Linked DNA regions of Coturnix japonica. The protein of the gene in region 1 interacts with the protein of each later gene in a pairwise test. Links are inferred from orthologs where the notes say so. Each region holds a gene or a part of one and is shown on either strand. Other genes may lie near its edges. The genes, in order: FBXO7 and PSMA3.

The links.
Region 2: the proteins of FBXO7 (region 1) and PSMA3 interact in binary tests that used the Homo sapiens proteins (3 or more experiments, as listed by UniProt). The two-hybrid records come from large-scale screens. The link is inferred for Coturnix japonica from reciprocal best matches to the Homo sapiens genes FBXO7 and PSMA3.

The regions. Positions count from the first base shown.
Region 1 is NC_029516.1:48,675,011-48,691,076, reverse strand, and holds FBXO7 (F-box only protein 7), read left to right. Parts: upstream 1-1,799; 5' UTR 1,800-2,000; coding exon 2,001-2,122; intron 2,123-3,354; coding exon 3,355-3,652; intron 3,653-4,974; coding exon 4,975-5,202; intron 5,203-6,439; coding exon 6,440-6,581; intron 6,582-7,454; coding exon 7,455-7,538; intron 7,539-8,658; coding exon 8,659-8,751; intron 8,752-10,817; coding exon 10,818-10,994; intron 10,995-11,628; coding exon 11,629-11,666; intron 11,667-11,876; coding exon 11,877-12,275; 3' UTR 12,276-13,378; downstream 13,379-16,066. UniProt on the Homo sapiens protein: Substrate recognition component of a SCF (SKP1-CUL1-F-box protein) E3 ubiquitin-protein ligase complex which mediates the ubiquitination and subsequent proteasomal degradation of target proteins and plays a role in several biological processes such as cell cycle, cell proliferation, or maintenance of chromosome stability.
Region 2 is NC_029520.1:50,252,466-50,267,451, reverse strand, and holds PSMA3 (proteasome subunit alpha type-3), read left to right. Parts: upstream 1-3,064; 5' UTR 3,065-3,178; coding exon 3,179-3,199; intron 3,200-3,419; coding exon 3,420-3,502; intron 3,503-4,717; coding exon 4,718-4,841; intron 4,842-4,924; coding exon 4,925-5,026; intron 5,027-5,153; coding exon 5,154-5,227; intron 5,228-5,731; coding exon 5,732-5,804; intron 5,805-6,321; coding exon 6,322-6,387; intron 6,388-6,388; exon of another isoform or gene 6,389-6,869; intron 6,870-8,199; coding exon 8,200-8,246; intron 8,247-9,474; coding exon 9,475-9,542; intron 9,543-9,674; coding exon 9,675-9,739; intron 9,740-10,225; coding exon 10,226-10,270; 3' UTR 10,271-10,404; downstream 10,405-14,986. Other genes in the region: ACTR10 (actin-related protein 10), read left to right, coding at 1-15, 628-829, 1,674-1,855. UniProt on the Homo sapiens protein: Component of the 20S core proteasome complex involved in the proteolytic degradation of most intracellular proteins. This complex plays numerous essential roles within the cell by associating with different regulatory particles.

The DNA.
Region 1 (16,066 bases):
TAGTTTCACAATCTCTTTGCTGTTAGCGCAGAACTAGGATTAGACTTTTCAGTTTCTTCCTTGCTCTGTTTCTTCCAGTTACTCAGCAGCAATAGGTATGCTTTCCACAGCTCACTCTGCAATATCAAATCAAAATGACTCAATAGCTTCATGCTTTTAACCCTTCCTATACAATGATATTCCATATGGAAAATCACTCAAGGGAAAAGGAATACAACATTTATATGGTTAGCAGGAGGGAGATACTGCCTGGAATGTTTAAAGTATCCATCAAATGATACAGACAGAAGTTTGCTAAAGGACATAAAAGCAGGTATCTGCTCTCTACTGCCACTGGAAAGCCTTGGAATGTAGCTGCCAGAGGGCAACTAATCTGTGCTGGAAACACCTATAGCTGCAGTGCCTACACAGAACTCGTTGATGATAGATAATTATGTTGAAAGGCAGTTGTCTGATGAGCTGATGGTAAACAAGAACACACTTTCCACTGTTCTAACCCATTTAGTTTGCATTTCTGACCTCTATAACTGTCCTGTCCTAGTACCTGAACCTGGACTACTTGATTCACTTTTAACAAAGTTCATTTAACAAGTCAGTGCTCTCACAGTGCATGCTGGCCTCACAGCTAAGAGTTGCAAAGGTGCTGCTAATGCAGAGATACCAAACTCTGTTTCTGAGGTGTCACTTCAAAGAATTTTGCTCTGCATGTAGCTCAATAGTGATATATATAGCACGTAGTTCAATAGTGAAAAGGATTATATAAAGAACAAAAGTGTTAAGGTGCTTGTGAGACGTAGTTTGATCTACAAGGACCTTAAGATTTCCTTGATAAACTTATAAACTCTTATATAGGACAAGATTGCCTAAGATATCTAAGATCATATATTCTGTGATTCAGGTTCCTCTCCAATCTGAGGTTCTCACATCATAGCTGACAGCATTGGAACAAAGACAGTATAGCAGCCAATTGGTCCTGAAGGATGTTCTGAAGGACATTTCCGATTCAGACACCTCTGTCATTTTTTTTTTTACAGCCTCCAGTAGAGGACTACATTGATGTTTGGTCAAGAATGATGAAGGAAAGCAATAGAAATTATACTCCATATGGAGTATGGATATTATAGAATTATGCTCCATATGGAGCACATATTTTCATCAGGAGTAGAGCAGTTAAAAGCCACAAAAAGAAACGTAGGATGCTGCATAAGGGCCAGCAGCCAACCTGAGATGTGAAGCAGAGCCTCGATAAAGGTATTAGCTATACAACACTAGTATAAAGGAAGATTAAGGTTAGATGTTAGGAAACAATTCTTTACTCAGTAGGCAGCGCTGCCCAAAGGTCTGTGGGTGCCCCATGACTGGAGGCATTCAAAGCTGGGTTGGATGGGGACCTAAGCAGCCTCAGCTGGGGAGTGGCAGCCCTGTGCATAGAAAGGGGTGGGAAATCAACAATCTTTGAGGTCTCTTCTGACCTAAACCATTTTACGATTCTACGATTTCAATACTTTTTTTGTAGAGTGCCTTGCCCAGCCTGAGCTCAGTTTGATACTTGATTACTGGAAACTGCAGAAATGGTCACAATGCTGAAGAGATACAAAACACTCCAGCCAACCTTCTCCAAGACTCAGGAGAGCGGTTCCTGACAGGCACAGCGCTCGCAGTGCCCTCACTGCACTTAGCTGCCACGGCGCTCACAGCCACCTTCCCGCCTCATACCTCCCCGCCACGGCGCGCCACCCGTGCGCATGCGCAGCAGCGACCCGCTCGCGCCGCACCACGGGCGGCGGCCATCTTGGCACACCGAGCAACCGCTCCTCGGGCAGCGGGGGCGGGGCCGGCCGGAGGCGGAGCCGGCCGGGGGCAGAGGCGGCGCCGCGCCAACCCAAACACCGCCACGCCCCGGCAGCCCTTGCGCCCGCTGCCCGCCACCATCGTTAGCCGGCGGGGGCCCGCTCGGAACGTCAAGCGGGCGGAAGCGCGGCCCCGCCGGCCCCGCCGCCATGAAGCTTCGCGTGCGGCTGCAGAAACGAACGGCGCCGCTGGAGCTGGAGGGGGCGGAGCCAACGCTGGGGGAGTTGCGCGCGCAGCTCCGCCGGGCCCTGCTTCCAGCCTGGGGCTACAGGTAGCGCGCGGAGCGAACCATCCCGCGGCGGCGGGGGGGCGGCCGGGAGCGGGGCCGAACCACGCGGGGTGGGGTCGGGGCGGCCCGGCCCGTTTCTCTTCCCTAACCCACCCCTGGCCGAGACGTGGCGCTGCCGCCCCCTGTGGGGAGAGGTCCGTGGGAGCTGTGCGGGGCCTGGCCACGGGTTGGGAGAGGCGTCCTCTGTCGCACGGGAGCGCAGTGCGAACGGTTGTGAGGTGAAACTTAATAAAAACTTAGAAAAAGTTTTGCTCCAGTGTACCTGGAGAGCGAATCGGGGGGGAAACTTCAAACTGTAATTATTTCCTCACTTTTGCTGTAGTGTATTGCTGAGTGTTACTGAATGACAGAATTGTAGGGCTTGACATTCTGTACGGTGTGGTGGGGACTTCTGGAGATCATCTAATCCAATGCCCTGCTAAAGCAGGTTCCCTACAGTAGCATATACAGGAAAGCAATTGGGTGGGTTTTGAGTATCTCCAGAGAAGGAGATACTCCGCAACCTTTCTGGGCAGCTTGTTCCACTGCTCTGTCACACTCACAGTAAAGAAGTTTTTCTTCATGTTCACGTGGAATTTCCTATGTTCCGGTTCGTGTCTGTTGCCCCTTGTTCTGATGCAGGCCACCACTGAAAGGAGCTTGGCCCCATCCATTTGACTCTTATCAGCATTGATAAGATTTCCCCCTCAAGACTTCTCCAGGTGGAACAATCCCAAGGCTCTCAGCCTTTCCTCATATGGGAATGCTCCATGCTTTCCATCTTCTCAGTGGCACTCTGCTGGGCTCTCTTAGAAGTTCCCTGGCTTTCTTGAACTGGGCTGCCCAGAACACAGTACTCCAGCAGGGCAAAGAAGAGAGGGAGGATGACCTCCTTTGACTTGCTGGCCATGCTCTTTGCAATGCACCTAGGATGCTGTTGGCCTTTGGGCCACAAGGGCACACTGCTGGCTCATGGCCAACCTGTTGCCCACCAGGGCACCCAGTTCCTTCTGCTGCAGAGATCTTTTTCAGTAGGTCACCCCTCACCTGTTCCAGTGCATGCAGTTATTCCTTCCCAGGTGTAGGACTCTGTGCTTGCCCTTGTTGAACCTTACTGATAGATTAGAACCCAAAGGAATAACATTTGTAGAACATAGTATGCTTTTCTAACTATACCTCTGTGTACAGCTACTCAAATGCAGCTAACCATATTTCCTTATTCTGTTATTTTACAGTTCTGATACAGAGTTTTCAATAACGTTGAATGGGAAGGATGCTCTTACAGAAGATGAGAAGACTTTAGTTTCATATGGGATAGTTCCTGGTGATTTGTTATGTTTATTACTAGAAGAAACAGATGCCAAATCCAGCCTACCTCCTCCCTCATCTTCTAATCCTCCCTCACTTCAGAATGGTCATGAGATATCCACCTTAACTCCCAAAAGTCAGGCTGACAGTCCAAAAGAAGAAAGGCAGAATGAAGAGTCTGACAACCAGAAATCTCAAGCGGAAGCTCAGAAAAGTGACAGTAGGGTAAGCACGTGAGAATTGACTTGACAAAAGACAAAAAATGAGGTATCTTACATCAGGTGATGCCCTGCATATCAAAGAATTGCTTCAGAATATTTGACTAGTTCTGACTGTCTGATAATGTAACCAGTTATTTGGATGGAAAGCTGTCTCCATCATTACTTGTTATGTCCTGGTTCCAAGTTCTAGTGCCTCAGTGCTACCTTGAAAAAAATTACTTGAGGTACCACACAAATGCAGCAAATACTGAAATATCACTCTCACGTTGAGCATGTGTGATTCCATTCTCGTGGTTATAGCAGTTTTCTAGGATTCAGATGGCCTGCTTGGAATGAGAGATCTGTCTATCTTGTGCATGAAGTTTAACAGTGCTAAGGTAGCATTGTGCTTCAGAAGTGTACATTTGTATGAAGCCACAAACCTGTTTCCAGTTAATAGACATGTCTTATGCATGTTTTGCAGTGATTTGTTTGTGACTGTAGATAGAACAGTTAAGCAGACAACTGCATCTGCCAGCTGCTAGTTGTGTGGTGAAAGTGGTTTTTCTAGAAGAGACCCCTAGGTGCCGTGCTGCTTGGTGCCTGTCTCATTATTTGATTTTGTCCCTTCCTAGACAGGAGCTTGAGAAGATGTTTATTTGTTCTTTGATTTTGGATTAATTGTCAAATACAAAATATCACTCGCTCCGACCTTCATATGAGAAATATTGCCAAACATATGTATAAGGTATTGTTTCAAAGTACAGGAATTAAGATTTAGGATCCAAAGAATTCTGAGTAGTGAAGGAGAATGTAGTTGGACCGTTGTCCCATTGATTCTTGCCAGGAGCAAAGCAGCATTAGTACATTGGTGCTGTGGGCATGCAAGCCCATGCAAGAAAGGAAATGACAATAAAGCCACAGTCTTCTTGAAATGTCAGCAAATGCTTTCTGTTAATGATTATTTTAGCTATTTAAGCCTATTGCATTTCTAAGGAGTCTGAGTTAATCATGTTGGTTTCTTGCTATGCACGTTGAAGTACCACAATAATTGTTCCTTTAAGTGTTGCAAGAATTCTGACAAATGTTTAATAATTTATTATCAATTTGCAAGAAAATGACAGACTTTTTAAATGAAAGACTTGCATTACAAGTATTGAAAAAATACAGAGGCTGTGTATATAATCCCAGTCTCCAACTGGGATGCTAGAAAACAGAGATGAATTGAGTCGGTAGAAGTTACATGGAACATCTGTAGTGTTGACTTGGTGCCCATGAAGACTGCCAGACAGACAAGCAATTGTGATGGTATAATTTTCTGCATGTATCTCTTGTTATCTCTTGAAGGCAGGATCCAGCCTAGAATTTCCTTCTGGATTAGTCCCAGGAGATGTTGATTTAGAAGAAGGTACAGGTTCCTATCCTTCCGAACCCATGCTGTGCAGTGAGGCTACTGATGGAGAGATTCCGCATTCCTTAGAGGTGCTCTACCTTTCTGCTGAGTGTACCAGTGCCACTGATGCCTTGATTGTCCTACTACATCTTCTCATGATGGAGACAGGCTATGTACCTCAGGTAAGTACACAATGTCTTGGTCAGTGCAAGTAAGCTGTAGAATATTACAAGAACCTGTAATGCAAGATGCTTCTAGAGGTCTGGATCAGGCTGTGTGTATACTGTAAGCAGCCCAGTCTGCTGAAGTGTCAGCATCTCTAACTTGACTGGCGAGTATATCTTAAGGCTAAACTCTAGAGCAGATTTTCGGGGTAAAAGGAGAGGCTTGCCTCCATGTTCCTCTCAGTCCTCACCTGGAACTCACCTGATAACCTGACATTTCTGCTTTTTACTGTTAAGCTTGTGTAGATGTGCTTGGATTGTGGCACTTTGTTGTAGTGCTTTCCTCAACGTAAGTGTCATCTCAATAGGGTACAGTTCAAATGGTGGCTAATAAGGTCTAGGGCTGCCTAAGTATTAACTTACATCATCTTCAGCAGGGTTCAGTTAGGCTTTAGAATCACTAATGTCTAGAGCACCTACAGTTTTGTCTCTGTCCAGTGAGCTCATCTTTTCCGTTTTCATGTAACTTGCATTAGGTGTTTACTATTATGTGACTAGTGTCCTGTTTTCCTTGTGGTGCTAAAACCATATGAAATTAGTTTAATTCTGTTTGGCCAACACCAGTTAACATTATTAAACAGCACTCCCATAGGCTGAAGTACTATCCAATGAACACATTCCCATAGGGAGCAGAATTTATTAATGTCGATTTGTGGATTTGAAAAGAAGGAATGTGATTTTTGTGCAAGTTTAAGAGGAAAGAAAGAGAGACCCTGCTTGTCCTCGTGGTTATGTTGCATCTCTCTGTGAGATAACATCTGATAATTCTCATACTGAAATTGAAAGGAAAACAGTTAATCCACTGAGATTTTCAAGCTATGACCTTCAAGTCCTGTCAGAGATCACAGAAAAGGTGCAATAAGACATTTTAAATGCAGAAAATTATCATATATTCAGGAGTTTTCAGAATGCTGGAGTGAATGGCAGAGTGAAGTATAGACTTACACAGTGACTATAAGTCTACACGCTGAATAACCTCCCCAGAAACTGGCGCAAGACAGAAATTGCTAAACTTCCCTTAGATTTGCTGTTAGTATTGAGGAAAAAAGTATGTGCTCATGCAGTTATAGTCTGTATCATAATGCAGATTGGGACTAAACTAAAGATTTGAATTCAAACACAGTTCTGGCATTTTCAAGTTTCTAGTCCTCTTTTTCCATTTGAAGATATGACGGTATTTTCTGTGTATTTTCAGGGGACAGAAGCCAAGGCAGTGTCTATGCCAGAGAAATGGAGAGGGAATGGTGTTTACAAGCTACAGTACACGCATCCCCTTTGCGAAGAGGGTTCTGCTGGTTTGACTTGTGTGCCTTTGGGAGATCTTGTTGCTATTAATGGTAAATTAGTAAAGTTTTATCCTGGATATAGGTTGCTAAATATCACGATTGCTTAGCAAGAGAAGACTTGCATAAGCTTCTTTGGAATCACAATGTCATTATCCAGGTTGATAAGGCAGATGCCACTTCCTGATGCTGGAAATTCTTGGCATTTCTTGCCTCAGTATCAGCTTTTTCCTTCTCTCTAATGAGAATGGAATAATGTTTGGGGAAGTCAGTTAGCTTTTTCATTACAGTGTTGTAAAAGTATGGGTTTTATCTCGTTTCATGGGAACTGTGTTATACCTGAGTAAATACTAAAAAGAGAGAGATTTAATCCATTTTATTTAGTCTCACACTCTTTGCAAGACTTAAGCCATTTCTAGACTACATATTTCTTTGTTCTAGTGTGTGTTCTTTTTTGTCCTGACTGAAACACATGAGCATTCTCACTGTGGTCTCAAAAAGCTGTTTAACTCAGAAAATTAAGAGAAGTCTGTTTATTTTGAGGCAACTTCCATATCTCTTGGTAGCTTTTGATTGGTTTGTTGCTTTTTAGTTGCTCTTTAATGTTTGATTTAGCATTTGAGCAATTCCTTATTATGGAACAGATATTAAATTGGAATTCCATTCTAATTTCAAGGTTTCTTTGATTAATATTTGTAGACATATATTTGGTTATCCTTTGCTATTAGGAGTTCAGTTTTTATTTTTTCTGAAATTTCTGTGTATCTAACTGCTGGCTGTCATTGGTATTTTCCTTGACAGGAGCTGGTAAGGGAGAATAGTAAAGCACCTCTGAGAGTAAGGCAGTGATGAAGTGGTCTTGGCTGTCTCTCAGTATGTTTTCAATTTTGGAATATCATTTTTTTTTTCTTCTTCTTATGTTTGCAGCAACATTAAAAATCAACAAAGAGATTAAAGGTGTGAAGAGAATACAGCTGCTGCCAGCATCCTTTGTTTGCTTTCAGGAACCAGGTATGCGTGAGCTATAATACTGATAACAGTCAACTAGGAAGTAGGCAAGTGATGCAATAGTGGGTAGGAATAGTAAGTGGAGGACTAAATAGGAAAAAAATAGCAAGAAAGAATAAAAATACAACCACTGTTTAGATGGGTTATTGCTTTATGGTAAAAGGAATTCAGAGTATAGCCATTTACTTGTATTTTGCTGCTAAAGTAATTCAAATTTCTTTGATTAACTGAATAAAGAAAGGATTTTGCAAAGACTGACTCATGCTTTGTCCCAAATGCCTGTTATTTCTGAGGTTCTAAATGTCAGTGTAAATTTCTGAGGCAGCAATGCTGGATTAGACCCTCTTTTTTTCTCCCTGCTGGCTCAGGACTTTAGAGGCTGGTGATACCTACACTCTTACTGTGACAACGTAACTGTTATCTGTGTTATAAAATAGATGCCAACCACATAACTCTCTCCAGAATGACAAAATCAGAGAAGTACTAAGGTGGGGGAGGAGAAGGACAGATGGATGTGGATCCTTTGTCAGCAGAAGACTGACTAGCCTTTTGTTTTACAAGGCATTAATGAACCTCTTTGTTGCCAGTTGAGGATGACTTGGTGTCCTACACTGTGTCTCTCAGATCTCCAGTCACTGATGTAAGAAGCTAGTCAAAAGGCTCTAGAGGAATAACTGAGCACTGACGTGTCCAAGATAATGGTAGAGTCTTCTGGCTCCTCTTTCCTAGGATAACAGAATGGAAAAGCACTCTTATCTGAAAAATGAATGTAACAGACATTTACAGCATAGGTGTGTGCCATCTGAGCTTTGAAATCTGATCAAAGAAGGTCTGACAGCTTGAGAGCCAGTTGGTTTTTGGAGAACTCATGTATTTCTCATAATGGTGCTTTTTAAAGCCATTGGGTAGCCTAGCCTTACCATGGAAGTAGGCTGGAGTTTCTCAAAAAATTGCTATTCCATACACACTATCCACATACACACACTAGCTGCAGACCTGGGCCCACCAAGATGACAAACAGATCACGGTTTTGTTTATAAGAAAGCCATGGTTTTTCTGCTCTTGCATAATCATTGCATTATAACCTCTTGAAATTAAGCTTTTTATCTCTCTGATTTGATAGAAAAGGTTGCGGGTGTTTACAAAGACCTTCAGAAATTATCTCGTCTCTTTAAAGACCAGCTGGTTTATTCTCTTCTGGCTGCTGCCCGACAAGGTGAGAGAGATGATACTTAATTTTTGCAGATGGAAGAAAGGGAGGGAGTGTATGCAGAGTCTTGAGGGAGAAGTGTTAGAAACAGTTCAGACAGCTGCTCAGTGGTGGGTATGTGGAGAGTAAGAAAAAAATGGACACTCTAAAGAAATTAGATTAATCTTTGTATTTTAAAAGAAGTCAATATAATGATAATTTCCCATCAAAAGTCAGAGGGCACCAAATCCAAACTGTATGATGGGTGTGGTAGGACAGTGCAGCCAAGACAGGCAATGTACTCCACTGTCTTTAAACTGGTATGGGGCCTGACATAACCATGATGCAAAAGAGTGGTTGTCTTTGCTGTCCTGACTCTGCAAGTTGGAGCCTTCAGCTTAGTTAGCATTGTGATGTAGCAGTCAGCATTGATGGTTTGTCCATGTCTTAGGAAATCCAGGAGGATCATCCCTTTCCTCACTTTGCCCACTGAGGGCTGCACCTTGAACTTTTTTTTAATGTGAAATTCATGTATCACTGCTCTGTGTACTGCTGTTTTGACTCTGTCTCATAGTGCTGACACCACATCTCATGATTGAGAATGGAACAGGAGGCTGTCACTGTCAGTGTGGTATTGTTGCAATGGGTCCTCACAGACTTGTATAAATTGTTTTTTTCTGTTCCTATGTGAGCCTTGGTGGGGCCCACCTGACACAAACGTCTCAATATTCTAGTGTTGCCACCATCTTTTCTAACTTCTTGAAGGTGACACTCAGCTCTGTACATTGGTCCCTGGAAGTAATCCACTGATTCACATGGATGAGCTGATAAAGACACTCTTCGTTTCATTATGTGACAGCTGTGTGTGGCCATGCAGAACATGGCTCTTCTTTCACATCACAGCTGTTGCCTCACTGTACTCACACCTAATATTTTGTCTCCATAAACATTCGGCAAATGTTGATAAATGTCAGTGGGTGCAATTTTTTTTCTGCATGGAAGAACTCAGTACCAGACTTTTGCTTCATCCACACTTCTGTGTCAGACACCATTTTGTCAGACCGCCCCTCTGCTGCCATCTGTTGGAAAGCAACAGCATGTAACAGCATATTGGTGGGAAAGCTCAGCCAGTAGAACCGGTTCAACAGAAAGTTCAACAGTAGAACTGCAGGCATGTCCAACCCACATGCTGCATGCAGCCTGGCATAGCTCATACTGCAGCCACCCCCTACTCTACATCATCATGGCAGGCTCTTCCTGTTATGTTTGCGGCCCGGCCCAGCCGTGGGCATGCACTCATCTCTCAGTAACAGCCAAACATCAGGGTGTGCTTGACACTAAGCTGAAACCAAGACACAGGGGGCACGGTGCAGTGCTAATTGAAGTTATGGCAAATGATTATAAGCATTTTGGTGCTAAACTGTCCTGTGAACAATGACATATTTGCAGTTTTCTGTTTTGATAAAGGAGTCTGAGATTCATCAAATTTTTTCATGTTTGCCATTCTCCTGTTTTCAGTTGACACAAATACGTTACCTGTGAATTTTCACATGGAACGTGTAAAATTGCAACCAGATATTGATTGTGTCTCTTTACTAGACTTTTCTAAGACCTATCAGCAGTAGGAAATCAGGCTTTCTGTGTATAGATACTGCTGTAAAAGAGTTCAGCTTAGTATTCTGAAGACACAGTGGAATCCGTAGACTTCAGTGCGGGCAAGTTTTATGTGAAACATATGCTGTGCATTTGATATGTTTTTTTTATGGACTCTTGTAATCAGGCAGACCTTTTTCCTTTGGCCTTTGTTCTGTAGCCTGCACACATAAGCATGCGGCATGTTTCTTAGGTTAACAGCAGTCACTGGTGTTCAGTGTAAAGTACCATTTGGCCTATTTCATGAACTCATAAACATACTGCAAGGTGGAAGAGATCAGTATTCTAAGAAACCGTGTCCTGGTGCTTTTGGAGACCCGTTGTTTAACTGAGGCATCAAAAGGGAATGATCTAAGGGAAAGGTTATGATGTCTTTCTTTTCTTCAGGGTCATCAGCTTTGCACCATTTAGTTAATTCTTCTGTGTCCTCCACTTCGTAGCTCTGAACTTGCCAGATGTCTTTGGGTTAGTGGTCCTTCCTCTTGAGCTGAAGCTTCGGATTTTTAGACTTCTGGATGTCCGTTCCCTCATCTCTCTGTCTGCTGTTTGCCGTGATCTTTATGCAGCTTCAAATGATCAGCTTCTGTGGAGGTTTATGTATCTGCGAGATTTCAGAGGTAACGGTGATACACATTTTCTTCAATTTCATTCTCGTGTGAACAGGGGTAATTAGGTCTTACGTTTTGATAAGAGGTTGCTCAGGTAAGCAGTCTTGATTTTTAAATAGTGGCATCAAATAGAGTCATTAGTGATAGTGACCAGTACAGTGGACTAGATGTAATTCAGGTGGGTATTCTGTTTTCTGTCATGAAAAATAGTAATAGTTATCTGAGCCATTTCTCATGGACCATATAGTTCTGCCCATCATGTGGTAGAACTTTGGTTGTTTTCATCTGTTTCTCTTGCTACTTAGATACACTTGTTATTGCAGCTATCTGAGAGTGAAGAGAAGGGATATTCCTGCTAGAATTCCTCACAAGAGACTGAAGAAAAAGGTGGTAAAGGGAAGTGCTATTATAAATCAAAGATGGGAATAATATTCCTGGGATTTCCTAGGAGTTTCGGAGATGGTATTTTATATAGAATATGAGTAGATTATATACTGAATGGTCCTACAGCTTTATATTTTTTTTAAACACATTATGTATTGACCAGAGATGTTTTTTTCATCTCCTGCATGTTCCCACAAATCCTTGGCATAAATGCTACTTAAAAGAGGTTGCTCATTTTGATTCTGTGCTTCTCTTGTAGATCCCATTGCAAGGCCTCGTGACACTGACTGGAAAGAAGTAGGTGGCTTCTCTATATAATCTCACTGAGATTAGTCTACATGGGAGAAATTCAGGGCAAACACAGAGACTTTGGGAAGCTGTAGTTTTGAGTTAAATTTTAATTTAAAAGTGTTCTGTAAACACGAGTTGAGTTTGGTTGGAGTAGGGGAAGATGAACATCAACAAGAGACTTGGTGAACCTTAAAATACCTTTGTTTCTGTCTGCAGCTATACAAGAAAAAGTTGAAACAGAAGAAGGAGGCCTTGAGATGGAGGCACATGTTTCTGCCCCCTACACCTCATCCAATTCCCTTTCATCCCAACCCATTTTATCCTAGTCCCTTTCCTCCCAACCCATTCCCATCAAACCCAATCTATCCCCCCATGGTCATTGGAGAATATGTTGAGAGACCAACGCTTCTGTATATTGGAGACCCAATTAATTCACTCATTCCTGGCCCAGGAGAAGCACCATGCCAGTTTCCTCCATTCAGACCACATTTTGACCCCATTGGTTCCTTGCCTGGAGCAAACCCTACACTTCCAGGACGAGCTGGTCCCAATGACAGGTTTCCACCTAGACCCAGCCGGGGCCGCCCCACGGACGTTCGCCGTGCGTTCATTTGATTGCTGCTTTCTCCCTCAGTGGATTTTCTAGTTCCTGAGCTTGCTTTCTAACTGCAGGACCTTGTAAAGCCAGGCACTAACATCTGCCTTCTCCTCAGATTGTTGCAAGAACTTGTTTGCATGGTAATGTTTTGACCCCAGAGTTAGGGTTTGTTTGTGTTCTGGTAATAGTGCAGTACCTGGCACTAAGGTCTTTTTCAAGATGGGCTGTGACTTAGAACAGTACATGTTGTTTCCCTCCCACCTCTCTTCTTCAATCACCTGTGGAGTGCTACTTAGAGACTAGAAGGATACTGGCTAAGTATTTGCTTCATCAGATAAAGAGTATCTTTTTCTGTCTTATTTGAAGAGTTTTTTTAATTTGCCAGGAAAAAAAAATATTTCGTTTCAAATCTACCTGGCTAATGATTTTTCTTAACAAAAACTCTGCCACATCCCACGTAGAATGGGATCCTACCACTGCTATGGTAGATGTGTTTTCATAGATTATTTTTCAGAGACGTTTTCCTTTTTCTGTTAGGTAAAAAGCATTTTTATGTCGTTACTTAATACACAAAGAATACAAGGAAGGGACTTTTTGTTTTAAGTGGAAGAAATTAGAAAGCAAATCAGTTCATTTTGCAAACAGCTGAGTGAACCCATGCTGCAGGGCAACTCAAAGCCTGAACAGAAGCAGAGCAATTTTACAAAGAACCAGCAGCAAAACATTTTTACTTTTTCCTTGTTTGAACAGGTTGACTTTACAAATAAGTAGCTATAGTACATGGCCGCGTTTACTGTGTGTGAACTAAAATGGATGCAAAAATAAGTTTTTCTGCCTGCCTAACTATTTAAGGAATTAAACAGGTTGACCCGATTGCAGTGGATGTGGCATCACAGCAGGAGAAACAGAACCAGTTCATACTTCAGTAAATTCTGTTCAATTGCACTAGAGCAGTATCAAAAGTTATCTCGACGGAAGAAAACATGCTGTGGCATGTTAGAGCTTTTCAAGTGTTGTCTCGTTAACTAATGAACAACTAACAACATCGCTGTTACAGTTTCCTGATGAGATCTGCAGTGTCATACTGAAGCTCAATTAAAGAAAGACTGGAATAACTAAACTTTGCTAGAACTTTTCATTTCTTATTTTCCTTCTTTTTAAGATGGTTTGATCTCGGTGTTTCTGAAAACGTAAATGGTACCGATGACTGTTGTGACAGCTGATATTGCTTTCTACAATCCTTTTGGAATTCAAACAATGGCAGTGAATTACGTTTCCTACTAAATACAAGCTGTTTCATCAGTAATACTTCTGTGCTTTTTCAGGTGATGTTTCAGTGAGTCATCTTTTTGTTTTACACATCAGCTGACTTTGGTTGGGTCAGGAAGTTCTATTAACTCTGGGGGAGTAAAATAATACTTTTTTGTTTGTTTGATTTTTGCTCTCAAAAGTTGTATTTCTTGTTTCTCTCTCTTTTTCCACTTCAGAGCAGCAGCAAACCAGTGCAAATCCTGCCATGATTGATCACACATAAGTATCAATAGAGCCTGAGGGCAGTGGTTCAATATCAGAATGAGCCTTAACTTTTTCCTAGTGTGGTTGAATTGCCTTGTTCCAATGGAATTTTCATTTAAGTGTATAGTCAGGCATTGTGGAGCTAACAGTGATTCTTCAAGGGAAAATGGAAGTCTGCACTGTGTGTGTCTTGCACCATTTTGCCCTTGTGATGTGTCCTTCAGAAATGCATCCATAATACTCAGGCAAAGTCACACAACTTTAATGGATTCTGTTTATCATGGATTTTGTCACTGGGACGTTTAAGAACAAATTGGGCATCATTACAGATACACCGATGAGTGACCTGAAGGTGTTCCTTCCCTTTCTTTTGCACTGTAGGGGAAGGCATTGTGAGCCAGAGATAAAGGAATCTGCCTTATCCCAAACCGTTGATTTCCTACAGAGGAATTTCCTTAATTCATAGGACAGTATATGAAATACAGTGTGAATATGTCAGGACCAGCAGTATAAAATGACATGGCAGAACAAAGGAAATACTTGAAAACCAGCCACTTGGTTATTTACCAGCTTCTGAGGCAGGCGTACGTGTCATTGCTGCTTGCAAACTACAGAAGAGACACGAAGATGAAATGCTTGAGGGTGGCCATCATTCCTTACCTGTACTGTTCATTCGCATGCACTGCTGCTAACAGCTGCTTGGAAATTGGGAACTGTTATTGCACTTACCCCTTTTTAATTTGCTTTACCTTATTCATGGAACTTAAGAAGACCGTATTGAATAACCTAGTTATATGCAGGGTGTAAGGTCTTACATACCCATCTGTGATAAGTGAAAGAAAAGGAAGTACAGCTGCAGTCATTGGAGCAGGAGTGCTATTCTGAGCCTTAGCTTTATACAAGATGTTTAATTGCATGAGAACACGAGTTACATTCCTCTTGAAATACCACACCTAGATATTACAAGAAAGACAAGATGTTTTTTCAGTCTGGGTCTAAACAGCAGAATGTAAATTCATTCAGGCAGATGAGTCGCTGCTGGCTGTCAGGTCAGCAGTGCTGTCCTGTTGCAGTAGTCAGCTGGAGGACGGTCCTGCTGTGTTTCAAGGGCAGCATCAGCAAATGATCCAACTGCTGTGATACCAGTGATTAACTGAAGTCAACTGAAGGAGCCATATCTTACCAGTCAGTAGTTCCCTGTCTATTTATTTATTTATTTATTTTGTGTGTGTGTGTGTAGGGTGTGTTGGTAAGAGATTCACAAAGATGTGAAGGGTAGAACAATTGAGGATTCTGTCAGTAAACTGCTATGTTTGCGTTTCTGGTGACCACTTAGTAGGGCAAGGCATGAGCCATGCTGAGGGAAGTGTTATGGAAGGGAATGCTCTTCCACCAGAGCTGTATTACCTCTTCTCCATACAGTGGAGCTGGTTAATCTGCTATTGTTCTTGCCAGTGGAACAGTGCTCGGAGTCATTTGTCACTCTTTTATTGCTCCTGGAGACTGAGAAACAGCAGGGTCTGTTTTCTTTCTCAGGCAATGACATGTGTTTATGATGCTACATTGTAAGCTGCTTAGCAAACCTGGAAGGACAAAACAGAGCTGGGAAAAAAAAAAAAAGAAAAAAAAGAAAAAGGATAAATCAGGAGGGAATTGAGTGGTTCTTTAATTCTGAACTTGAGATATAAATCATTGGTCCAGATGAGTCTCTCGAGAGCCTTCCAAGCTGGAAAAGCCATGCAGTTACTTGCCTGAAAGTGTACAGGTCACAAAAGCAATTATATTTGTAGAGGTATGTTCGGGTTGGTCATGTTAGGTCCGGATGACTGCATTGGATCTAGATGCTCATTACAGGTGCTGTGCATGAAGGAATTGCTCATCTGGCTTCATTCCCACCCGTGAATCATGAGATCCAAGATGGCAGATACTGCTGTTGGTTTTTCTGACCTGGGGACCTCTTTTTAAGTGACTGCTAAGATCTGCACCGCTGGCTCAAATGTTTGTAACTGACTTACTGATCTCCTTTCCACCACTGGTATTCCTAAGTGTAACTGATACGAAGTTGCAAAGGGAAACATAAAGGTAGAAGTCTGGCCTTGCAGCTGTGCATATGGATTTGTGGTGCAAATACTGGACACAAAAATGCAAGAGGCTTCCTCCTGGAGCCCTGCTTCGCATATGTCAGGTGATGGGATGGAGGCTGGTGCTTTCATCAGGTGTATTGGGTGGGCTCTCAGCTGGTAGAAGTAGCCATAGTGAGATTGATTTACACACTGGTTTTTTTCTCTTACAA
Region 2 (14,986 bases), on another chromosome or scaffold:
GATTCTCTCATTCAGGTATCTTCATAATAGAAACAAGAATTTGCACACCACTACCCTCAGAATCTGCTCTTATAAATGGCTCCTGCAGTGTCATCCCCCTGACTACAGGTTGCAGTCAGCACAAGGTGACTCCTCAGGCTGTGGCCTCTGGTGAATCACTGTGGGGTAGCAAGTCACTGTGTGTCATTCCCTTTATGGTTGCTTTTGTTCTTTGGTGTGCTGCTGTTTGGGCCAGTTTTCAGCCAAGCAAAGAAGCAGTGCAGTGCTCCCTCCTCAGTGAAAGGCTTAAGATGAATGGAGTTGGGGCATTTTCATTGCTGGCAAAATGTTTGGTGTTTCTTCTCCTGGAACCGGTGGGAATTCACAGCATTGATATCCCACCATCTTTTGTGTTGGCCAGACTCAGCTACAGGGATTTACAGTGACTCACAGTGTGCTCAGCCTTGACTGGGCAGTTCCTTCAGCCTGGTCTTCTGATGGAGTCTGTAGTTGTAGATGTTTTCTCCTTTTTTGCTGACACAAGTAGTTGAAGTGCATAGAAGGACTGATTGAATTTCTAAGACCTTTGAAAGCGTCTGTGTGCAAGTTGCATTGAAGTATTGTGTTTTCTATTCCCCTTGTTGTTAGTGTCCCATAGACACCAGGAAGCAGCTGGCAGAGAACTTAGTGGTTATGGGTGGCACTGCCATGTTACCAGGATTCCTGCACAGACTCATGGCTGAGATCAGGTACCTGGTGGAAAAACCGAAATACAAAGAAGTCCTTGCGACTAAAACCTTCAAAGTTCACACTCCACCTGCCAAACCCAACTACGTGGCGTGGCTGGGAGGTAAGAGTGCAGCTGGATCTTACTATTAAGAGTCTGGTTGAAGTGGTGAAGGCTGAGGGGCAGAATCACAACCCTGGGCTTCAGTAAGGCCAATTTTGGCCTATGTAAGCAATTGCTAGGGGAAATCCCATGGGACAGGGTACTTGAAGGTAAAGGGGCCCAAGATAGTTGGTTAGCATTGAAGGACTGCTTCTTCCAAGCTCAAGATCAGAGCATCCCAGCAGGTAGGAAGTAGAGAAAGGGAACCAGGAGACCTGCATGGTTAAGCAGGGAGCTGCTGGGCAAGCTGAAGTGAAAGGGGAGGGTCTACAGTTCATGGAAAGAGGGGCTGGTCACATAGGAGAAATATAAGGTGATGAAGGGAGTGGAGCATCTCCACTATAAGGAGAGGCTGAGGGAGCTGGGCCGCTTTGGCTTGGAGGAGACAGAGGGGCAATGCCATTATAGTTTGTAAAGGGTGTGTGACAGGAGGATGGAGCCAGGCACATCTCAGTGACATTCAGCAGCAGGACAAGGGATGCAAGCTGGGACACAGGAGGTTCCATGTAAATGTGAGGAAACCTCTTCATGTGAGGGTGTGGGGTCTCCTTCTGTGGAGACATTCACAACCCATCTGGCTGTGTTCCTGTGTGACCTGATCCAGGTGTTCCTGCACGGGCAGGGGATTGGGCTTGGATGACCGTTGTGGTCCCTTCCAGTCCCTGACTTTGTGTGATTTATTTTTAGTTACTTTCATAGAGTAGAAATGGGAGCAATTTGGGTCAAAAAGGGCTGCTAAAAATGAAAGTACCTCCATCCTTTTGTTCCTTTTTAATGTAAAACTATATTTTTTTGTCAATAACAGGAGCCATTTTTGGAGCACTTCAGGACATACTCGGAAGCCGCTCTGTGTCCAGAGAATATTACAGCCAGATGGGGCGCATCCCTGACTGGTGCTGTCTGAGTAATCCTCCTCTGGAGATGATGTTTGATGTTGGGAAAGCACCCCCACCGCTGATGAAAAGGGCTTTTTCAACTGAGAAATAAGCACTTAAATGCTACACAAGGGCTCTCCTCATCTGTTTCAAGTACATATGCATATATATATATGAGCAGGATTTTTTTGTATGAAGTTATGTGTGTAACACCATTAAACGTGAGCAGTGTGGATGTTCTGGGGAGCACGGTGGTGGTTACTGATGCTGTATGTGGGGCTGTGTTCATGTATTGTTTAGAAATGGATTCTGTGGACTCCTGTGCTGCTTTGTCACCTGGTGCAGGATTGGTCTGTAGTCACGACTTGCAGCTGACAGTGTTTTGTTATCGGTGCTGTGAAGGTGCTTTGTTTCAAGATACTTTAAGTACTCTGAGAAGACCGGAGGACTGTCTGCTTTGGGAAGCAGCTGGAAGCTTTGCTGCCAGATTGAAGAGTGGAATGCAATGCTTTACATGGGATCCTGCATTGGAGCTGCTATAAAATGGCTTGTGCTGCTTAGCAAAGCTGCAGGGATGGTGTTTCCTCTGAGCAGTGAGTATTGGCTTCAGTGTTTCAGCAAAGAACTGTGCTATGTGTGATACCCTGCAATGCTGAGCTGACACCATCCCACTGCCTCCCCAGCAGGAAAGAATTGAGCTGTTTAAAGAATTATAAATGGGCACACAAGGAATTCTTGGACCTCACTGAAATGCCACACTCAGAAGTCGCTTCTTTGCCCATCAGAATTATTAAACTTCATTGTGCAGCGCTGTGTATTAAATGAAAATACATTACTTACAAGCAACAATGCGTTGCTTAGGGAAGATGGATGCTTTGCTATGAGCACCGTGTGGGAGCTGGCAGGGTGTTGGAAGCCAATGGTCGCCCTTTGTGCTCCTGTGCATCTCTTGGCAGTTCAGTATTGCTGCAGGGAGGAGCCCCACTGGTTATTAAGGGAAATCTGGTGCAGTTAACACAGGTGGCTTATTTCTGGTGGTGCTGGCGGGTGTTTGGGAGTTGGAACTGGCTGCTGTATCCTGGAATAAAAGCATGTCCTGGAGGCTGCAGGATGCCCCATAAAAGAGCCCTTCTATTATAGGAGCAAAATTAACCTGCCGCCCAACGTGGGGCTCGAACCCACGACCCTGAGATTAAGAGTCTCATGCTCTACCGACTGAGCTAGCCGGGCGCTGTGGAGCACCCTCCCAATTCATCTCTTCAGCACACGCCGAGCGCTTCGCGTTACCAAACGCTCCGCCCGCTGAAACCCCTCCTCCGCCGAGCGCTGGTTGGGCTGCATGGAGGCCAATGGGACCGCGGGTTGCTGAGGGGTCGGGAGCGGCATCGAGGCCGGGGCGGCAGGGGGGGCTGTGTCCGAGTGAGGCGGCGCCGCCATGAGCTCCATCGGCACCGGGGTGAGCGCGGGCCGCGGGCGGGCGGGGGGCGAGAAGGGTAAATGGGGCCTGGAGGTGGCGGCCCCAAAGTTCCCATCGGCCGGGGCTGAGCGGGATCGTGGCCGCTGCTGAGTCACCGCGGCCCGTTAGGCCGAGGCCCTGTGGAGCTGCGGGGCCGCGTTGTCCGGGCTGTGCCGTGGGTTGTTGGTTGCTGAGCGATCCTTTCTATTCTATTCTCCAGTACGACCTGTCGGCATCCACCTTCTCTCCCGATGGCAGAGTGTTCCAAGTGGAATACGCGATGAAGGCTGTGGAGAACAGCAGGTAGGATACGGCTGGATCCACCTCTTTGTGGAGGGGCCTCCTTCACAGAATCACAGAATGAGCCGGGTTGGAAGGGACCTCAAGGATCATGTAGTTCCAACCCCCTGCCTGGCAGGGCCACCAAACATACACCTTTACTAGATCAGGTTGCCCAGGGCCCCGTCCAACCTGGCCTTGAACACCTCCAAGGACGGGGCATCCACAACCTCCCTGGGCAGCCTGTTCCAGGGCCTAACCACTCTCCTAGTGAAGAACTTCCCCCTAACATCCAACCTAAATCTTCCCTCTTTTAACTTAAAACCATTTCCTCATGTCCTGCTATTATCAGCCCTGTCGAAGAGTTTACTCTCCTCCTGGGTGTAAGTTCCCTTCAGGTATTGAAAGGCTGCAATGAGGTCACCCTGCAACCTTCTCTTCTCCAGGCTGAACAAACCCAACTCCCTCAGCCTGTCCTCATAGGGGAGGTGCTCCCAGCCCCCTGATCATCTTCCTGTCCCTCCTCTGGACCCTTTCCAAAATCTCCATATCTTTTTTGTACTGAGGGCTCCACACCTGGACACAGTACAACAGATGGGGCCTCACAAGAGCAGAGTAGAGAGGGACAAACACCTCCCTATCCCTGCTGAGATCCCTGCTCTTTCAAAGCAGCCTCTGGTTCTGGAGATGGAACTGATTGTAACAGTGAGGTTTTGAGCATCGATGCCCCCACCCTCCATTTGGGAGGCTGCAAATAGAGTAAAAACTATATGAGTTGGAGCAGACCTGCTGGGGTGGAAACTGTGTCACTGTGTCATTTGATCACTGGTTGGCAACTCTGCCCACACGGGGCTGGAGCTCAGAGATCCTTCAGGTCCCTTCCAACGTCAGCCACTCCAGCATTTTATTAATTCGTAGAATCATACCATTACCCAGGTTGGAAAAGACCTTGAAGATCATCAAGTCCAACTGCAGCCCAACCATAGTACCCCAACTCTAACAACCCTCTGCTACATCATATCCCTGAGCACCGCATCCAAACGGCTCTTAAACACATCCAGGGATGGCAATTCAACCCCCTCCCTGGGCAGCCTATTCCAGTACTTAACTACCCTTTCTGTAATGAAGTGTTTCCTAATATCCAACCTATGCCCTGGCGTAACTTGAGGCTGTTCTTTGTTACTTGTCTGCACGGTTCTATTCAGTGTAAGAGAAACTCCCTGTTGTCTTGTCTTTCAGTACAGCCATTGGGATAAGGTGCAAAGATGGCGTTGTCTTTGGTGTAGAAAAGCTCGTTCTGTCCAAGCTGTACGAAGAAGGCTCCAATAAACGTCTCTTCAACGTCGATCGGCACGTTGGAATGGTGAGCGGCTGCTTAAGCTCTCAGGATTTGAAGGGGCTCAGAATAATATTAAAGAGATGCAGTGATGGCAATTCTCCTTCCAGGCAGTAGCGGGGCTGCTTGCAGATGCTCGTTCGTTGGCAGACATAGCTAGAGAAGAAGCTTCTAACTTCAGGACTAACTATGGCTACGACATTCCACTGAAGGTAAGAAATGAGCGCGGTTCACTCAGAGCTTTTGGCTTTTTTAACCTTGACAGCGATAACCATAAGCAATAATTGTGATTTACTTATTTCTGCAAATAAAGGCCTCCGCTTTTCTTTTCCCCCTTAGCATCTTGCAGACAGAGTGGCCATGTACGTGCATGCATACACACTGTACAGCGCTGTCAGACCTTTTGGTTGCAGGTAGGTCTTTCCAACATGTGCTTGTTTGTAAAGGCCTTTTGCTTCAGAAGGGCTGGAGCTGTTTATGTCTTAGCTCATTTTTCACATTTGGTACCGATAAACCAAGAAGTGGGAAGAGTTTCCCCTGTCCTTTGTTTTATTGCATCAGAGCAAACCAGGCTGTGTATGGCCTGCATGCCTGTCCATCAGGCTTAAAGCTGAGGAGTTGATGTTGAATCTGTGTCCATTTTGAAAGCAGAACTTTGTGATCATCCCCTAAAGAATAGGTAATAACTACCATGCAGCTGTGGTTACCAGGGAACTAACAAACTGAGGTCTGTAGTTATAGTTAAGTAAAACATTTCTGGTCAATTGCAGGTGCTTTGGGGTCACGATAACACTGAGCCTTCAGACAAACTGCTTACAGAGTGTAATAGGGTAGTGGGGAGCCCTGACTTGATTTAGCTGTCATTGCTGTATGTGGGTTGGCAGAATGACTGTTTGATTTTGCTTTTTCTCACCCAGTTTCATGTTGGGGTCCTATGATGACGATGACGGCGCACAACTGTACATGATCGACCCGTCAGGAGTTTCATACGTGAGTCTTTCAGAAATACTGTTACTTTTAAGTTGCTCTTTTAGAGGTTTCTAATCTGGACATCAGTAACGTGGCGTGCAGTTCTTAGAAGCAGCACCGCTTCCATAAAGCCTGTTTTTAAAGCTCTCAGAAATGTGGGAGTTCATTCCACCTGTATGCAATGAGGAGTCCCATCCATTGCCGCAGGGTTGAGTGCTGCAGTGATAACTCCGCTCACAAAACACTGAGGTGCAGAGGCTGCTAGGTGGGCTTTGGTGGTGGTCTTTTCTAATTCTACTTTAATTATAGTAAAAGATCCTATGCGACAAACAGAGCAGGTGTGTGTGTGCCCAGAGGATCTACTTAGCATTGCTCTGTCAAGGGTGGCAGTGCTTAACCCAATAACTTGTGAACCTCACCTGAGAGAGAACAGTGCCAACATTTGCTGTGTATCTGCCTTGTTACAGGAGTGAAGGAGTCGTTAGGTATGTGGTGGATGTAGTATTTCATTAACCTTACACTTTTCTTTGTTGTTTAGGGTTATTGGGGCTGTGCCATCGGTAAAGCCAGGCAGGCTGCAAAAACAGAGATTGAAAAGCTTCAGGTAGGTTGTTTCACTTTTATTGTGTTGCTTTCAGGATGGATTATTTCTGCCTTTTTAGATGCCTTAAATTCATAAAGTACAAGAGAAGCAGAAGTATTTCCTAATACGTTGTCTTAGCCTCTATAGGAGCAGTGTTTCTGGCATCTTGACCCTGGGCAATGGGAAGTCCATAGTGAGCACACAGTTTTAAAAGGAGAAGCATAAACATACACTTCTTTGGTTACCAGCCTAATTGTTTTTGTAGAGCTGCAGTGTTTGTATTCCTTGAACTTCATGGTAGGGCCTGTGAAGTTCAGTAGATGAGAACAGGGGTGTGCCATACAGCACAGCTGTGCTGATCTGTCATGGCTTGTTTGCAGAATGCTTTCAGTGTGATGTGGTCAGAGCAGCATGAAGCAAGTGCGGTCTTGTGTGCTGATGCTTCTTGGTAACGGTGGGCTGGACAGGTTCCAGGGCAGAGCTGATTTTGTTCAGCTGATTTCCTGATTGAATGACAAAACATAAATGGGAAGAAGACAAATGCAAACGCTTTGGTGGGGTGGATAGTGATAAGATGAAGGGGAGTGGTTTTAAACTGAGACAGGGGAGGTTTAGGTTGGATACTGGGGGAAGTTTTTCCCCCAGAGGGTGGTGACGCACTGGAACAGGTTTCCTAAGGAGGCTGTGGATGCCCCATCCCTGCAGGCATTCAAGGCCAGGCTGGATGTGGCTCTGGGCAGCCTGGGCTGCTGGTTGGTGACCCTGCACACAGCAGGGGGTTGGAGCTGGGTGAGCACTGTGGGCCTTTGCAACCTGGGCTGTTCTATGATTCCATGCTGATTCTATGATCCTATTAGCTGCGGATCTGTCCTGTGAAAGATGACTGTAGATGGAAAGAAAGAGGTGAGAATATCATCATAACCTTGAAACCTGTCTGGCAGGTACTGCAATGCAGGTGCTGCATGTGGGAGGGGATGCAGTACGTGAGATCTGCACACGCAGCTTATACTGCAGGTGGGGTGCACTGCATTGATCACATCTGTTGCATCTTATGCAAACATTTGGTATCTTCTGTCACATGGGGCCTGCTTGAATCTGTTCATCTGCAGTGCTTCTCATGTTATTTTCAGATCATATTTATGACTTTTTTTATATGGACATAATGGGGAGTTAATTACAGGAGTTAATTACAATTACAGTATTTCCTATTTGGGGAAGATTGGGCCAGGAAAAGAATAATGACAAAAGATAAATGAAAGCTTTGTTTTGTAAACACACATGACAGTAACAGACCTTTGGGTTTTCTTGTTTCACTATTGACTCCATGTGCTTAAATACACATAGGTGTGTGACGCAGATTAGATTTATAAATAGAAGTCAGCACTGCGTTACGGATTGAGTCACAAATGGAAGGGCTGGGACAGTGTCTCTGTTTAGGAAACTTGTTGGAATGCAAATGTGACAGCACATCTACCTAAGCAGGGCCGTTTCCTTTTCCTTTGGCCCACTGTGTACTTGGGTGTGTGCATTACACACACACAGGAAGTGCTGTCAGACTCAGCATGAAGAAAGAACTGCTGTCCTTCAGCAGCTTCTCAACCAACTTCTGTACGATGGCTTTGCAAAGTGGTTGAGAATCTGAGATGGTAAAACTACATGTATCTCATAAGCTCTACCCTAAGCTCGGTGTAAAATATGCTGGTCTAATCAATAATCAGGTATGTTTTAGTGAGTGAAAGATGCATTGTGGAGAATAGGCACATCACAGTCCCTCGTTTGCTGGCCAAATGCAAAACAGGATGTTCTGCTAAGCTGTATGTTTTTTGTCTGCAGATGAAGGAAATGACTTGCCGTGACGTTGTAAAAGAGGTTGCGAAAATGTAAGTCTGCAGAGTGTTTCTCCAGCTCAGCAAAAATAGGTGCTTGTGGGCTTGTTATGGTTTCAAAGTGAAGCTGTTCCCTTTACATGAGGTACCAGGTTTCACTTTTGTAGATGAGTGCTGGTGCTGATTCTAGTCTGGTGTTCTATTAAGATCTGTCTTGTGAGATGGGCTGGGGGAAGTTCTTTACTGTGAGAGTGGTGAGGTGCTGGAACAGCTGCCCAGAGACGCTGTGGATGCCCCGTCCATCCCTGGAGGTGTTCAAGGCCAGGCTGGATGGGGCCCTGGGCAGCCTGGGCTGGTATCAATGTGGAGGTTGGTGGCCCTGCATGTGGTGGGGGTTGGAGCTTCAAGGTCCTTGAGGTCCCTTCCAACCCAAGCCAGTCTATGGTCTCTTCAAATAAATACAAGTATCCTTTCGGCTGTTTCCAGTACTTAATGCTTACAGGGATACTTCTGCACTTGTCACAAATCTAATAATATGCAGCTACAGAAATAATTTCCAGCCTTTTATGGCTGTTCCTTAGAGGTTATAAAGAAGTAATAAATGTTTCCATCAATGGTGTTGCAGCATGTGAGTTTATTTATGTGGCTGTGTCAGAGGCTATCATGTTAGCTGCTAAAGGAAAGAATGTGTGGGCTCTCTGCTCCTGAAACATAACAAGGACCTCAAAACGACTCTGAAACTGCACAAACAAAGCACAAGGCTGTAAGTTGTTGTAGGCTTAGCAGATGGGATGGAGAGCTCTACGTACAGGTTGTGTATTAGCAGTTGTGTTTAGATTTAGTTTCAAGTATAAGATGAAACAAGATTTACAGGGGAAATGCAGGGAGCTCCTGCCACACTGTGACTGATTGAGCAGAAGCAGGCAATGATGTCATAGCCTTGGTTCTACAGTACTGGAATCTTAAATAACATTTATTGTAAAGGTGATGTTCTGTATTGGGTTACTCAGCATCTCACCTACGTGGGTACCTTGCATCTTATCTGTAATCATGCAACACACTGTTTTAGTAATGCTTTACTCCACAATATGCCCTGATAGACTCTTTTCCTCTTGAAATGGGATGAGCACAAAGGAGAGGTTGAAGAGAAAGCAGGAGGGGAAGCTTCTATTACATGTAGGAAATGGTGTTTCAACAGAGTAAGAGATGTGTGAAAGGAAGAAATTATAATTTGCCTGTCAATAAATCTGTTCTAACCTCCACCCTCTCCCTTTCTTTCCAGAATCTACATCGTTCATGATGAAGTAAAGGATAAAGCTTTTGAGTTGGAACTCAGCTGGGTTGGAGAAAGTAATGCATTTCTACCTTTCTGTCAACAGTAGAGAAAGCTTCTCATTTTCTGTATTGAACATGCAGAAGCAGTGTTTTACTTATCGCACCGTGCTGTGTGAATTCTAATAGGTACTTCTTTTTTGTTTGCAGTAACCAATGGAAAACATGAAATTGTTCCCAAAGACATAAGAGAAGAAGCAGAAAAATATGCCAAGGTAAGGTCTGACATCACTGCTGTCATCTCAGTGTTGCTCTTGGCAAGTCTGGAATAGAATGAATGAAGTAAGGAGCAGGATTGTAGCACTATAATGACTGGAAAAGGGATGGGTACATTAATCACTTGTAGCCAGGATGTCTCCTGATGAGAGAATTGGGAAGTTCCCTCCATGCAATCCACAGACAGTTCTTACATTTAAAAAGCATGGCATCAAGCTTCCCTACCTCTCATTTCTTTTATTAATGCCTCAGTCATTACATAAGTGGATGGGAAATGCAGTAAGTCGCGTTACCTTTAAAGCAGGTATTTTAGTTAACCAGCTGGATAAAGCTGCTCCCCCAGCATTTGCTTTGAAAGCAGTAGTGGTGCCAGGTTTTAAGTTCTTAAGTAGTTTAGTTCTTCAGTAGAAACAAGGCCTGCTCAATAGCGGCCTTTGTGTATGTAGAGAAAATAGTAAAACAAAACTCTTTTTTTTTTTTAATAGGAATCTTTGAAAGAGGAGGATGAATCAGATGATGAAAATATGTAACACATTGTTACTTCAAGACAAGTTTGACTTAGTACAGGTTTGTTTATAATGTATTACCCATGGGACGCTCCTTTGTACATGCTGGAGGAGACTGAGTGACCAACTTGCACTAATAAATTTTCCATTTTACTGTCTGTTAGATTTCATTTCAAAATAAGTTAGGATCAATTTAGAATACAGAATGCTTTGTATTCTAAACTGTACATCAAAACAGGCCTTAAGATGGAAAGGTGTCATCATGCTGGTGTAGATGCTTCTTACTACAGCAGAACTTTTGAATCAGGCTGGGCCTAGGAAGACATGTTATCAGTTTAGGTGATATGTGCAGCTGCCAACTACAACCAGCTTCCAGGAAAGCACTTTAATTAACAGTTCTGCTGTCTCAGGCTTAAGCCTGGGCTAAGAGTCAAGCCACATGGAATGCTTGCCTTTCCAGCTAAGCACAGATGTCAAACTGCTACAGCTCTCTATCAGGCAGCTTCCTTGAGTGCTGTCCCCAGAGGCAACCATATAGCAACTGCACCTGAATCAGGCTTTAGTTCTGTCTTGCATTCAGTGTGAGTTTACTACTGAAGCTTATTGCCTATTCAACTCTTCTGAGTCAGTGAAAGCCAATCAGTAAACTGATCTCAGCCTAAAGCACCTGCTGAGGACTGATCTTTCACTTGCTTTAATGTGACAAAATGACTCCTTGATTCCAAACCTGAAACCTTGCTCACAAACTGCTAAATGAAAATGAAGAGCTGTATTTACAAGCAGCTACACCTTTATAATCTTTCCACAGCTATTTAGGGCTTGGTACGGGAAATGTAACAGTCTTACAAGTGATGTTACTGGGTTAAGAGGAAAGGGCAAGTGCAGCTGTAATTATAGATACTTCCTTACCCTTCAGGCTTAAAATGTATCTAGGAGTCAGACTTCAGCTCAACGGCTGGTTAGCTGAAAGCTGACATGAAAGCTTCCATCAGCCTCTTGCAGCTTCAGATCCAGGGCATGCCTCTGCAGAGAGGAAGGCCTGGATGAGCTGTTACCCAAGGCAGAGTAGCCACAGTAACCTTTTAACATGCCAAGTGAGTAGGGCAACCAAATTAGTGCTTCTACTGAGAGCTGACTAGGACAGATGCAGGCTCAGTGATATAGGAAGCAATAAACTCAACAGACCTAACAGCAGGAGTCTGAAACGGGTAACCAAAGGCTCCCAGAATGAGACTTCAGTTGGACCAGCAATGCCTTCCTGCAGGAATAGGGCTTGGATCCCCTTCTCTGAAGAAGGGAGCTTCTATGCCTGGCCTGGAAATGGTTGCTTTTAACAATGAAATGCAAAACTCAACTGAAAAGTATATTGCAAGGATAACAAACATGCCCTTAGTAAGGCAGGACGTTTCTGAATATCTGATTTCAGCAAGAGGTGATTCTTAACATTCATTTTTATTATTCCTGCCAAGAGTACTGGGAGGTTTTAGTTTTGAAGATACCAGAAAGGCATAATTAGCCCATAACATGGCAGCATTTCTTGCTTCAGGCTTAACAAGTAACCTACTTAGTCTGGGCTCTGGCCATTTATGGGAATAGCGTAATAGAACAGAAAGTCACATACCCACTTGGAATGTACAACTGCAGTACTTGCCACGCTGGAACACAACTTCACAGCATTAAAGGCAAATCCCATTGCTTGAACCCCAAAGTACGTGCTCTAATGCAACACCAGAAGAAAGCTGGTCTATATGATTGTTTATCTCTTAGCTTAAAGTCATCCTTTCTCATGGACTGTACTTTTTATACAGGATTTTGGATAACATCTTCATTCAAAGTTATGTTACTACTGATAAATAATTTTAAGATTGAGCTGTTGGAACATCACAGGAGTAACCCACGTGTAAGGTTTCTGGTAGGACAGATAAACATAAGGAGAGCTCCACAATAAATACTGCTCAGCTGAAGTTGGTGCTGACTCAGAAAGGAAGCACTTCAATTAATTCCAAGCAGATCTGAGCTATGCCAGGCATCAGGTCATTCATCACTTTGCATAAGCAAAAACAGCATGATGGCCTAAGGCTAAAAGCCCCCCTTCCCTGCAAGTTCCACTGCTCACATGGGTACAATAACACGTGAGATGCTATTTGACTCTGCAGCCCTGGTCACTTCTAAGGAAGGGGCTTGGATATAACTTAATATGGCAGTGATCTCCCTTAGGATTTAACTGGTAACCATAGAAGGGTACAGAAAACAGTGAACTGTTTAAGATACATTGTTGAATGATAATCATAACCCTGGAGTGCTCAATTTCAGGACTGAAGATAAAAATAGGGTTTTGAGTGCATAACACCACCAAAAACACTGCAAAGAGACTGTTCTTTCCCCCTCCTCCTCCATCTGTTGCACACCTCTAAGAGGATGACTGGTTTCTACTGCACACACCAGTTTTTCAAGTTCAGTGCAGTAAGGAAGTTACCTTTACCTAAGGATTGACAGCTATTTTGAGACATTTACTACCTCTACCTTTCCTTATTAGATGGCTTGCCGTCCCTTATTGCCAGTTACACAGAGTTGCAGGGAACAGGCTCCAAAAGAGGTAAGGGTGGAGCCTTACTGTCTGTCTAGTAAACACATGACAGTATTTGAGAACACAGGATCTACAGCCGAGCTCAAACCAAGTCTCTCATTTCCAGCTGCAGCGCTCTTTCATCTTCACACGCTGCTATTAAAGGACTCCAAAGCAGTTGTTTAAAAATGGTCCTTAGGATTGCTGTGCAAACCAAAAATGGACAACTAGAATAAAGCAGACAGCGGCCTCGTGTACTTTGTAGTCCAAACACACATGTGTCATCAGATATAAGGAATAGTTAAGTCCCCTGAAGCTTCTCCTAAAGGTAATAAGAACTACCTGCAAAAAATACCACCTTAATTGACATAGTGAGAGGAGACAAATAAAAAGGTTAGATCCAAAAATCACTCAGCAAGTCCTGCTGCTGAAAGAGGAATCTAACAGTGGGTTAAGTTATAGTGAACTCCCATAGAAGCTGATACATCCCTACCACACGTAACAGAAAAAGCAGCAATTCCTAAATTAAAGCCAGAAAACTGCAAGTAAAACGTCCATTCTGCAAGACTTTTAGAAAAGGAGGAATCTGCTGCTTTCATTATCTGAGACATCAACAGGTTTCAGCAAACACAAGATGACTTAACAGCATGCTTACATAGAGCACCATTTCAGCTCTCATTCTGTGTGTATCTGCACTCTCTGCAATGAGAACCCCCTACATTCATTCCTATTATGTTCCAGGAATAGAAGAAAGCTGGAGTAGTGTCTGAGGAAGTGGATTCAAAGCGTAGCTTTATTTGTTTCCAGTAGGAAAGTTACTTAAACAACTACATTCCCCAGCCAAATGATAGTTGAAACAATACTCCCATACCAACAAAATGGGGTGACAAACTGCCTGCAAGGAAGAAACCGCAGCCCCCTAATAAAAGATGCCTTTCTTTGATTCAGAGTAGTTGAAACTTGCTAAGAAGACGGGTTTTGTTCTGGAAATCAACATAACGCAGCTTCTAACAGTGGCTCTGGTTGCAATGTATCTGTACTGGTCATACAGCACACAGCAGAACTGCAGCTCCTCACAGGAAAAAACCACCCACATCCCTGAAAATACAAACCTCCTGTGAGCAGTGCAGCCTTGCAACTAATTGACAACCTGGATGTGCAAACCCAGTGCCAGCTGGTCAGCTACTTCTCAAGTGAGCATCTGCTACCTGTAATAACAGCCAGCAAACAAAACACAGAACTGAAAAGTCAGCTTTAAAAAGAAGGCTTAAAGGTAGGAAAGAGTCAGGATGCAGTCACCAACTAAGCTGTATGAATTCTTGCTAATGGTGGCTGTTTATAGCTAATAACATTTAAATCATTAGACTGAGGGCATTAATGCCTTCCAAAGATAATCAATACTGATGAATTGCAGTCGTGTTGGCTGAGGCTGAAAAGTAAATTAACTGTAAGTGATTGAAGTAATTTAGACAAGCAAAAGCCCTAAGAAGAAAGAACTGCTGCCCAAGTTGTATTTAGCTGAACATCCTTGCTTGCAGAAGCAGCTTTGCTTCCTTGTGCATGGCTGCATGTTAATAGTGGCACACAAACTGCTTTCAGCAGGCTGTGGCAATGCCCACGTTCAGCTGGGTGATGCTGTTCTACAATCTGCACCTCTGACAATCCAGGATTTTAATTAACAGCTTAATCAGCACTGACGAACTTGAAAGTGACAGCTGTGCTGGTGGGCAACCCATGTCCAAAGACTCAGCATTAGAACAGTATTTTCTTTCTCTACAAATAGGGAAATAAGCACCTTAGTAAAAATCCAACATGAGCAAGACAGTTATCAGTATCTCAAAAGGTCTGTGTGTACGAAAACGTGGCTCTAACCTCTATCGCCCTTCATGCTGTTTAAACATAGCTACCTCTGCAAGAGGAAAAGGCCTTCAAAGATACCAGCAACAGGCAGCATAAACAAGGGCTCTATGGACAGCCCACCAGAAATCACTCAGAACCTAAGTTTAAAAACAAAGCAGAAAACCCATTGTTCTGAATCCCATCACAGAAGCACTGAGAAAATAATCCAACTGATGTTGCTCTTCTCAAAAAAGAAACAAGTCATTTTAGTTCTCTAACTGGCATCAGTGAACAGCTCATATAGGAGCAGCACGAGGCACCTGTTGAGTCTGCAT